2 linked regions of the Rattus norvegicus genome follow. The protein of the gene in region 2 purifies or fractionates together with the protein of the main gene of each other region. This does not show direct contact. Links are inferred from orthologs where the notes say so. Each region holds a gene or a part of one and is shown on either strand. Other genes may lie near its edges.

Region 1 (4,013 bases), on a different chromosome or scaffold from region 2:
CTGTGGCTTCTTTATCTGAAGGTCAGGATAGCACCCGGTACATGAGAAATGCATCTCCAAGGATGTGGCTAAGTTTCTTAAATCACTTGGGTGTGGCTTCCCTCCTCAAAAGGTTGTTATCATAAAGATTAAGTTGGCTACAGAAGGGGAGCCAATCTAAGATGGCAGCATGTTTGGGTTACCATTTATGTTCACATTCCTTCCATATTAGGTAGGAACCAGGAGAGTGGTCTTAACACCAAGTAATTTATTCGAATGCTTGGTAGTTTGGTGAGACAGCTTACCCATTCACCGTTGTCAAGGATTTTCAGGGCTAAGCAAAAAGCCCCAGCTGCAATTTGAGAAGGGGCAAAATGCACCATGTCGTAGTCCAGCATGGAGAGCTCCATGAGGTATTTGGCCAAAGTATGCTGCTCCACATCGACCTGGAACAGACGACCCACACACCACTCTAAGCCGTTAGCAGTAACTGACAAAGGCCTGGGACTAAACTCTCAAAGTAACCACACGATATGTAGTTAGGTCATCAGCCTTATTTTTAAATGTTAGCAGCTGTATTTTCTCATGTGGCAAAACAAAACAAACAAACAAACAAAAAACAACAAAAAAAAAAAAAAAACAAAAAAAGAAAAGAAAAAAATTCCTCCAGAAGTCTGTACCTCTCCAATTTTAGATGCTCTACGGAGGAAGTGCAGAGGCAGAGGGCGACCCAGACTGAAGTTCAGAACTCTCAGAATCTTCATCTCCATCTGTCTGATCTGGTGCTTGGTGTAAGTGTTGTTAGTCACAAAAGCGAAGTCACCGATCTCTGGAGGGTACATCTCCTCGTATTTGCTTGCAATAAACATGGCAGTTACACCAACCAGCTGCAGCATCTTCTTGGGCACACAACTGTCCTGCAATGGCAAGTTCAGTCTGTCCTCGAACCTCTCAACTGATACACCTGACTTCCCAAGAAAAGGGTGTTTCAGGCTCAGCAGGTAAGTTTCCTGCCTACCTTCAGGGCCTGCTCCCCCTCCTCTGAGACTCTCAGAGAAGACAACCGGAGAACCAACTGCAAATGGCTGGAGCACACATACCTGCATGAACCGATCGATAATGGACACAGTCATGTACATGGTCTCCTGCAGCAGCCGAAATTTCATCTGAACCTGTATTAGCCAGTCGATTAGGATGGCTCTCATGTTTCCAGTGACTTCACGACCCAGTAGGTATTTTGGTCTAACTGACTGCTCTTCCTGTAAAAGAAAATGCCAGTTATTCTAGAACAATCCTGCCATATAACGTTTGTGTCCACAAAGGCCAGTCAACTAACACAAAACAAGTAGCTCTTGGGACAGAAGTTCACCAAGAAAGCAAGGTTTAGGTTAGTCATAACAGGTTCTTCATATTGTTGATATTCGGTTAACCAGAATGACTGCAGCTTATACCCTGTACCCATCCTCATCTCAGATCTTTTCACTCTGCTGGAAAGCTGATCTAAGTTATACACTCAAAACACCCAACATAGCGCAAATACGAAACCCAGTTCTGCAGTGTTAGAACACAACAAAAAAAAGTATTAACAAGGAAAAAGGAAGACAGCTAGTTTGGAACCAGGAATCTTACTAAACATTACTTTAGAAAATACAGACACTAGCTACAAAGAATGGGTGTCAGCAAAATGGCTTCATGGGGAAAGGCCTGCTGACTTAAATTGAATTTTTTTTTTTAAAGATTTATTTATTTTATGCATATGAGTACACTGTAGCTGTCTTCAGACACACCAGAAGAGGGCATCAGATCTCATTACAGATGGTTGTGAGCCACCATGTGGTTGCTGGGATTTGAACTCAGGACCTCTGGAAGAGCAGTCAGTGCTCTTAACCACTGAGCCATCTCTCCAGCCCTTAAATTGAATTTTAATTCACTCCAGGACCCACATAAAGGCAGAAGGAGAACCAATTCTTTTGTCTTTTTGTTTCTCAAGACAGTGTTTCTTTGTGTAGCCCTGGCTGTTTTGGAACTATGTAGATCAGGCTAGCCTCCTCCCTTTGCCTCCTCAGTGATGGGATTAAAGGCATGTACTGCTGCCACTTCACAAGGCAATCAATCAACCCCTGGAAGTTGTCATTTGACCCCCTCTATGTGCCCACCCATACAACAACACTTGGAAACACTATTACAAAAGAGACTAAAAAATAAAAAAACAAACAAACAAACAAACAAAAAACCCAAAAAACTAATGACAACCTGAGAAGACAATGCTAGGATATAGTTGAGTGGCAAAGTACTTGATTAGCACGCACAAGGACTGTCCCTAGGACTGGGGGGACAGGGAGGGTCTAAACCTGATCAAACTGCATGAACTATATAGAATGTCTTGTTTAAAAGATAAAAGGGCAAGTCCCATTGATAGAAAGTTTTCCAAGTAGGTGGAGGTGATGGGACCAACAACTTCCACCTTGGATAGAGAATCGAGCGCACACTGATACAAAATGCCTTGTGTGGGACAGCGAGTGTCTGTTAGCACCATCCAACCCGTTCTCGAACCACACACATGTAGGACTTCCCCCTCTCTATGGTATGTCTATTTTAGGAAGGTATCTCCCAACACTGACATTTTATATTCAAAGTGGCAAGTCCACTTCACGGGGTTAGTGACTTTATTTTTAGTGTTTCAAAACTAACAACAGTGCTCTGAGTGTAACAAATAGTATTCATTGTCAAAAATTGTCAGGTGCGCTGTTAGTAAAAATTTCTTTGACAGCTGAATTGAATGTCACAGAACTTTAATCCCAGCACCAGTGAGGCAGAAGGATCTCTGTGAGTTCCAGGCTAGCCTTTAAATTAGTTAGTAAATAACATAAAGGGATAAACCAGGTATAGTGCAGCATCTCCCTTTAATTCCAGCACCAGGAATACTGATCCAGGAGGATCTTAAATAGCAAGAGTAAGGGCTTAGGGTAGCTGCAGTTAGTAAAGGCAGACGCTAATGACAATACTGACCTCCAGTTGTCTGAGGTAAGCATAGATATCTTTCACATATTCACTACAGAGGTTTGGATCACCACCATCGTCTGCATCTACATCACTCACTGCAAGAATCACATCGGAGAAAGCCTGACACAGATATTCTTCGGCAGGTGCACATCCAGATGTTTCCATTGGGCTTGGAGAGGGAGTATCAACCTTGAAGAAAAGAGACTTCATGAAACATGCTACATCATGGGAGCGTAAAGTCATCATCCCCAATTCAGTAAGTCATTCTAAATAAATGTAATTCATTTTATTAAACGAAAGGTATTTCAGATTCTTTCCCCCAATTTCTTTTTGGGAAATGATTCATACTGGGCTGGAGTGATGGTTTTAGCTATAAAGAACATTTGCTGCTTTTGCCAAGGGCTGGTTTTCTATTAAAAAACCAGGTGACTCAACCTTAGTTCCAGGATATCTGACGACCTCTTCAGATCTCCCTGGGCCCTGCACTCATTGCAAACTGATATCTCACTCATGAAGAAAAAAACAAACCATAGAACAAAACAAAACAAAACAAAACAAACAAACAAAAAATGGCAGGCTGGAGAGATGCCTCAGAGGTTAAGAGCACTGATTGCTCTTCCAGAGGTCCTGAGTTCAATTCCCAGCAACCACATGGTGGCTCACAACCGTCTGTAACGGGATTCAATGTCCTCTTCTGGTGTGTTTGAAGACAGCTGCAGTGTACTCACATACATAAATCTTTAAAAAAAACAAACAATTCTAACAATCAGAAAACAGTTCTAACAATCAGAGCCAGGCATGGTTAATATAAGCTTTGATCCCAGCACCTGGAAGGCAGGTCTCTGAGTTGAAGCCAGCCTGGTCTCCATAGCAAACTGCAAGCCAGCAAGATCTGGTCTCATAAAAAAATAAGCCCCAATTTAGATTCAGGTAGTTTAAAGTACGAAGAAGTGGGCTGGCAAGACGGGTAAAGGTACCTGTTGCTAAGCCTAACAACTGAGTTCAACCCCCAGGAGATCCACATGGTGGAA
Region 2 (4,276 bases):
TGAAAGCTGTCCAGTTTTAAAATGAGGGATTGTGATGTCCTGGACATTACAACAAAATCTTTACAACTGTAATCCCATTTAAGCCACAGCACACACTTCTGGTAGTCAGCCTCTTTCTTCCCTGAGACTAAGTGCCCCTGGTGTCCATCCTATCTCAGCTGCAGTCGTAGCTGGGAGTACATGTGTCAACACAGCCAAACAATCCTTTGCTTTTGTCATACGCCTCATCAACTCACACCCTACCTTGGAAACCAATGTGGTGAAGTGGCAAACACCTGTGATTCTAGAGGCAGGAGCGTTAGGAGTTCAAGACTAGCTTTGACTACATAGCAAATCTGAGGCTAGCTTAGAGATATCTAAGAGATCCTGTCTCAAAAAAGCAAGTAACAGAACACCCAATCCAAACAAAAGCCAAACCAGTAAGATAAGCCACAGGCTTTTAAAGTCTGCACCCTCGGCACCTATAGTTAGAGGTGCTTTAATGATCAAGCAGTTACAGAAAATCTTAGCATTCTGATCCCCAAATATCTACCAAAAATATTGTTTCATATATATATATTTCAAACTGTTATCATGTACTGAGCAACCTATAGTTAAATTCCAGCCTGCTTTTACATGTCCTTTGACAAATGCATCATCAACTTCTCTAATGCAACTTTCTAACCTGCCAAATAACCCCAGCTAATTCACAGGCCTCCCAAACGTTTTACAGACATGAGCCACCAAGTAATAACAGTAAACTTGTTTTTTTGTTTTTGGAACAGGATTTCATGTAGCCCAGGATGGCCTTAAATCATGGCAGAGCTGAGCATAACCTGAACTCCTGGTCCTCCTCCCTCTATCTTCCAAATGCTTGGGTTGTAGGCATATACCATAGACTCAGCATGAATAAGTTTCATGCTCATACAACACACACATGTTGTAAATTCTCTTCCCATGATGAACTCCCAGTGGAAAAGCCAAAACACGTACCATCCGAGCTGGGGCTGAATTCTGCCTGTGTGTAAAGGGGTCCTTACTTTCCTCGTGAACGTGAGCATTCAGGCAGCCACGAGATGCAGGTCTTATTGGCTTTTTAAATTCAAATGCTTCCTGCAAAACAATAAATTTGAAATATCTACTGTCCATAAAATGAACTCTAGGGCTGGTGAGGTGGCTTGGCAGGTAAATATACTTGCTGAGAAGGCTGAATTCCATCCCCAAGCCCACACAGTGGAAAGAACACATCGGAAAGCTGACTTGGCTTCCACATACACACTGTGGCACACTCCCACCTGCAGGCTTTCTCTTTCACTAAATAAACCTAATGAAAACTTGTTGAGGCTAGAGACACCTTAGCAGTAAAGAGCAGAGTTCCTCTGTGGTGACTGTGATGGTAGTGGTGGTGAGTATTCTGAGACAGGGTTTCTCCCCATAGTCATGACTGTCCTGTCCTGGACCTCAGTCTGTACACCATGCGGTCCTTGTCTACCTGCCTGTCTCCCAGGTGCTAGGAGTAAAGATGTGTGCTGCCACCACCATCTAGACAGCAGTTCTTCTAAAAGACCCAGATTTGGTTCTTAGTACCCACAGGCTGGCTTACAACCATCAGTAATTTGTTTCAGGAGATCTGACACCCTCTTTAGGCACCAGGCATACGGTACACAGACATACACCAAACCAAAACAGCCATATGCAGAAGAATGCATGACTATCTTTAAAAGTTATACAAGCACACTTGTTGTTAAGTACTAAAAACAGTTAACTGCCAATAAGAGATTGTATTATTAAGTACTCTCTGAGCATAAGCTAATTTAATCATCAAATACAATCTGATTGTTCCCATTTTACAAGTAAGAAAACTACATCTACAGGTTAATGGCGTGCCTAAGGTCTTGAAGCCAGGTAGGTAAACCCCAGAAAGTTATTTTATCTATGCTATTATTCCTTTAGAGCAAAGCTTCCGGGAAGGCACCCTTGGGAGAAGTCAAGAGCCAGACATAGAGTTTTGGTTCCGTCATACTGGAGAGGCTGACAAACTGCTCCAAGCACACAGGGAGGGAATCCATTTGCACAGAATGCCTCATGACATCTCCCAAAGTTGCCAAACAAAATCTGCTTTCACACAGGACATTGGTTTGTATTAACTTAGAGATTGTAAGGGCTATCAACTGGTATTTTAGCAGGAAATGGGAAACAATAAATATATGGAAAGAGTGAACGAGAGCGGAGCCAATCAGTCTGCCTAACTATTTTAGACAAGACGCTCTGTAGGATTTAAGAGAAAGCCAAGCAGGGCACACATGGACTTCTGGATAAACCATGTCCTATCCTCTGATCCCACAGAACTGAATGGCTTTGGATTTTAGCTTATCACTGCAGTGTTTATAAATGTGGCAGATGGGTCCAATGACATACATCTTCCAAACACAAGTAATAAGATTTTCATGAGCTTAGAGTTGCCCTAGGATTGTAGCCAAGAAAGGAAAATCTTCAGTAGACTCTTCTAGATAAAACAACTCATGGATGTAATTACTCCTCACAAAAGCTACTTACTAAAATCCAACAACATTTATATCAGGTACTGTCCTAAATTTTCTACATATATAATCTTATTTAATTTCTAAAACAGCCAGAATAAATATTGCTACCTTACAAAAAAAATCCAACAACCAAAATAACAAGAAACCCACAAAGGAGCCTAACAAAATTCCAGCACCACAAAACGAGGTAGAAGATACAAATTCAGATTTCTCTACTGAAAGGCCAGGTGTGGTCTGTCTGTGACTTAGTCATGGAGACAGTAGCCCAGCCATGTCACCTGTAAACTGCTGACACTTAGCTTTCACTTCCAGCCTGGGTTATGGTTCCAGCCATGTTGATGCCACACTTACATTTTCTTTATTTTCATCCTGGTCAATGAGTTGAAAGATGTCGTGGTCTAGAGAATCAGAATGGCTCCTCTTTAGCGCTGGGCTACACCCCAAGAGCTTCTGCTGCCAAAGTAAAACAGAGAAATTGAGTTCACAGAGAAAAGCACAATGGGAGACCTAGTTTTCCTTTTCCTTTTTTTGAGATAAGGTTTCACTTTGAAGCCCAGGCTGGCCTTGAACTCAAGATGACCTTTCTGCCTCAGCCTCCCAAAAGCTAAGATTACAGGTTTGACCTATTATACCCAGCTAAAATCTTAATTCTTAAAGAAATGAAGCGGGGTTTGGAAGAACTAGCTTATCACCACATACTGTAGCAGGTAACCAGTAACTGTGCCTAGGGCTCCAACTGCTCTACAGAATCCGGAATCGCCTTACACCTAATCATACAAGGCCTGTAGCCCTCTTGGCAGGTAATAATACGGGCCATACCAACCCCCTAGTAACATTTGCATGAAAAGAACATTTCCTGGTTTGATAAAACTAAGATTGAGTACGAAGTCCACAAGAGGCAGTCACAGTTCCTCTAGGTAATGCCTTACTGCCTGTGTGTTTACAGGAATGTAGAAAAGCAAGGTCCATTTCCTAAACGTAGGGAAGCTGGTGTTTGATGGAGCAGTTTACAGGTATTAGTATTAGCTCAAAACAACAAAGGAACTTACAGGTAGGCAATTTATTCTCCTCAGGGAAATTTCAAGGCTGTAATGAGATCAAAAGGTAAATAAATATAAGAATAAAGAGATATTTTATTTATTTATTTTTTTTGGTTCTTTTTTTCGGAGCTGGGGACCGAACCCAGGGCCTTGCGCTTCCTAGGCAAGCGCTCTACCACTGAGCTAAATCCCCAACCCCAAGAGATATTTTATATGAGCAGATTCATACTGCTCAACCTATAGTAGGGGGAGGAGAGGCATGTCAGGTTCTCATTGTAGCATAGGCAAGAATAGTGTTTCCTGGTCTCAGGAGCACCCTCCATTGAAAATAAAACAAAAATAAAACAAAACCAAAAAACCCCGTGATGTCTCCTAAAATACACACATCCATTCATTTAAGTGTCAAAAAGTAGAGCTGGGGAAATGACAGCTAAACCACAGGAGGGGAAATCCTGCCAACTGCTGACCTGAAGCAACATTCATTGCCAGCAGTGTTTCCAGCACCCAACAATTCACTACAAACAGCTAACTGCAGAGCTCTAGTCCACTGTGAAGAACTTCATTCAAAAGTCAAGTTTTGACCATGAGTGATAACACATACCGTTAACCCAGCACCAGGAGGCGGGCAGACTTCTAGTTCCATGCAAGCCAGGGCTTTGTAATAAGATTCCAATCAAAAACCAACCCTCAAGTTTCTCTTGTCTTTTCTTTTGA

The links. Proteins that work in one complex are often made in the same cells at the same time.
Region 1: the proteins of Cdc25a (region 2) and Ccnb1 purify together in Homo sapiens (affinity purification with mass spectrometry; 3 studies listed by BioGRID, with this or other methods). This does not show direct contact. The link is inferred for Rattus norvegicus from reciprocal best matches to the Homo sapiens genes CDC25A and CCNB1.

What each region holds. Positions count from the first base shown.
Region 1 is NC_086020.1:33,648,711-33,652,723, forward strand, and holds part of Ccnb1 (G2/mitotic-specific cyclin-B1), read right to left. Parts: intron 3,172-4,013; coding exon 2,989-3,171; intron 1,239-2,988; coding exon 1,080-1,238; intron 897-1,079; coding exon 660-896; intron 426-659; coding exon 285-425; intron 1-284. UniProt on the Homo sapiens protein: Essential for the control of the cell cycle at the G2/M (mitosis) transition.
Region 2 is NC_086026.1:118,745,791-118,750,066, reverse strand, and holds part of Cdc25a (M-phase inducer phosphatase 1), read right to left. Parts: intron 3,609-4,276; coding exon 3,572-3,608; intron 2,976-3,571; coding exon 2,874-2,975; intron 1,093-2,873; coding exon 973-1,092; intron 1-972. UniProt on the Homo sapiens protein: Tyrosine protein phosphatase which functions as a dosage-dependent inducer of mitotic progression. Directly dephosphorylates CDK1 and stimulates its kinase activity. Also dephosphorylates CDK2 in complex with cyclin-E, in vitro.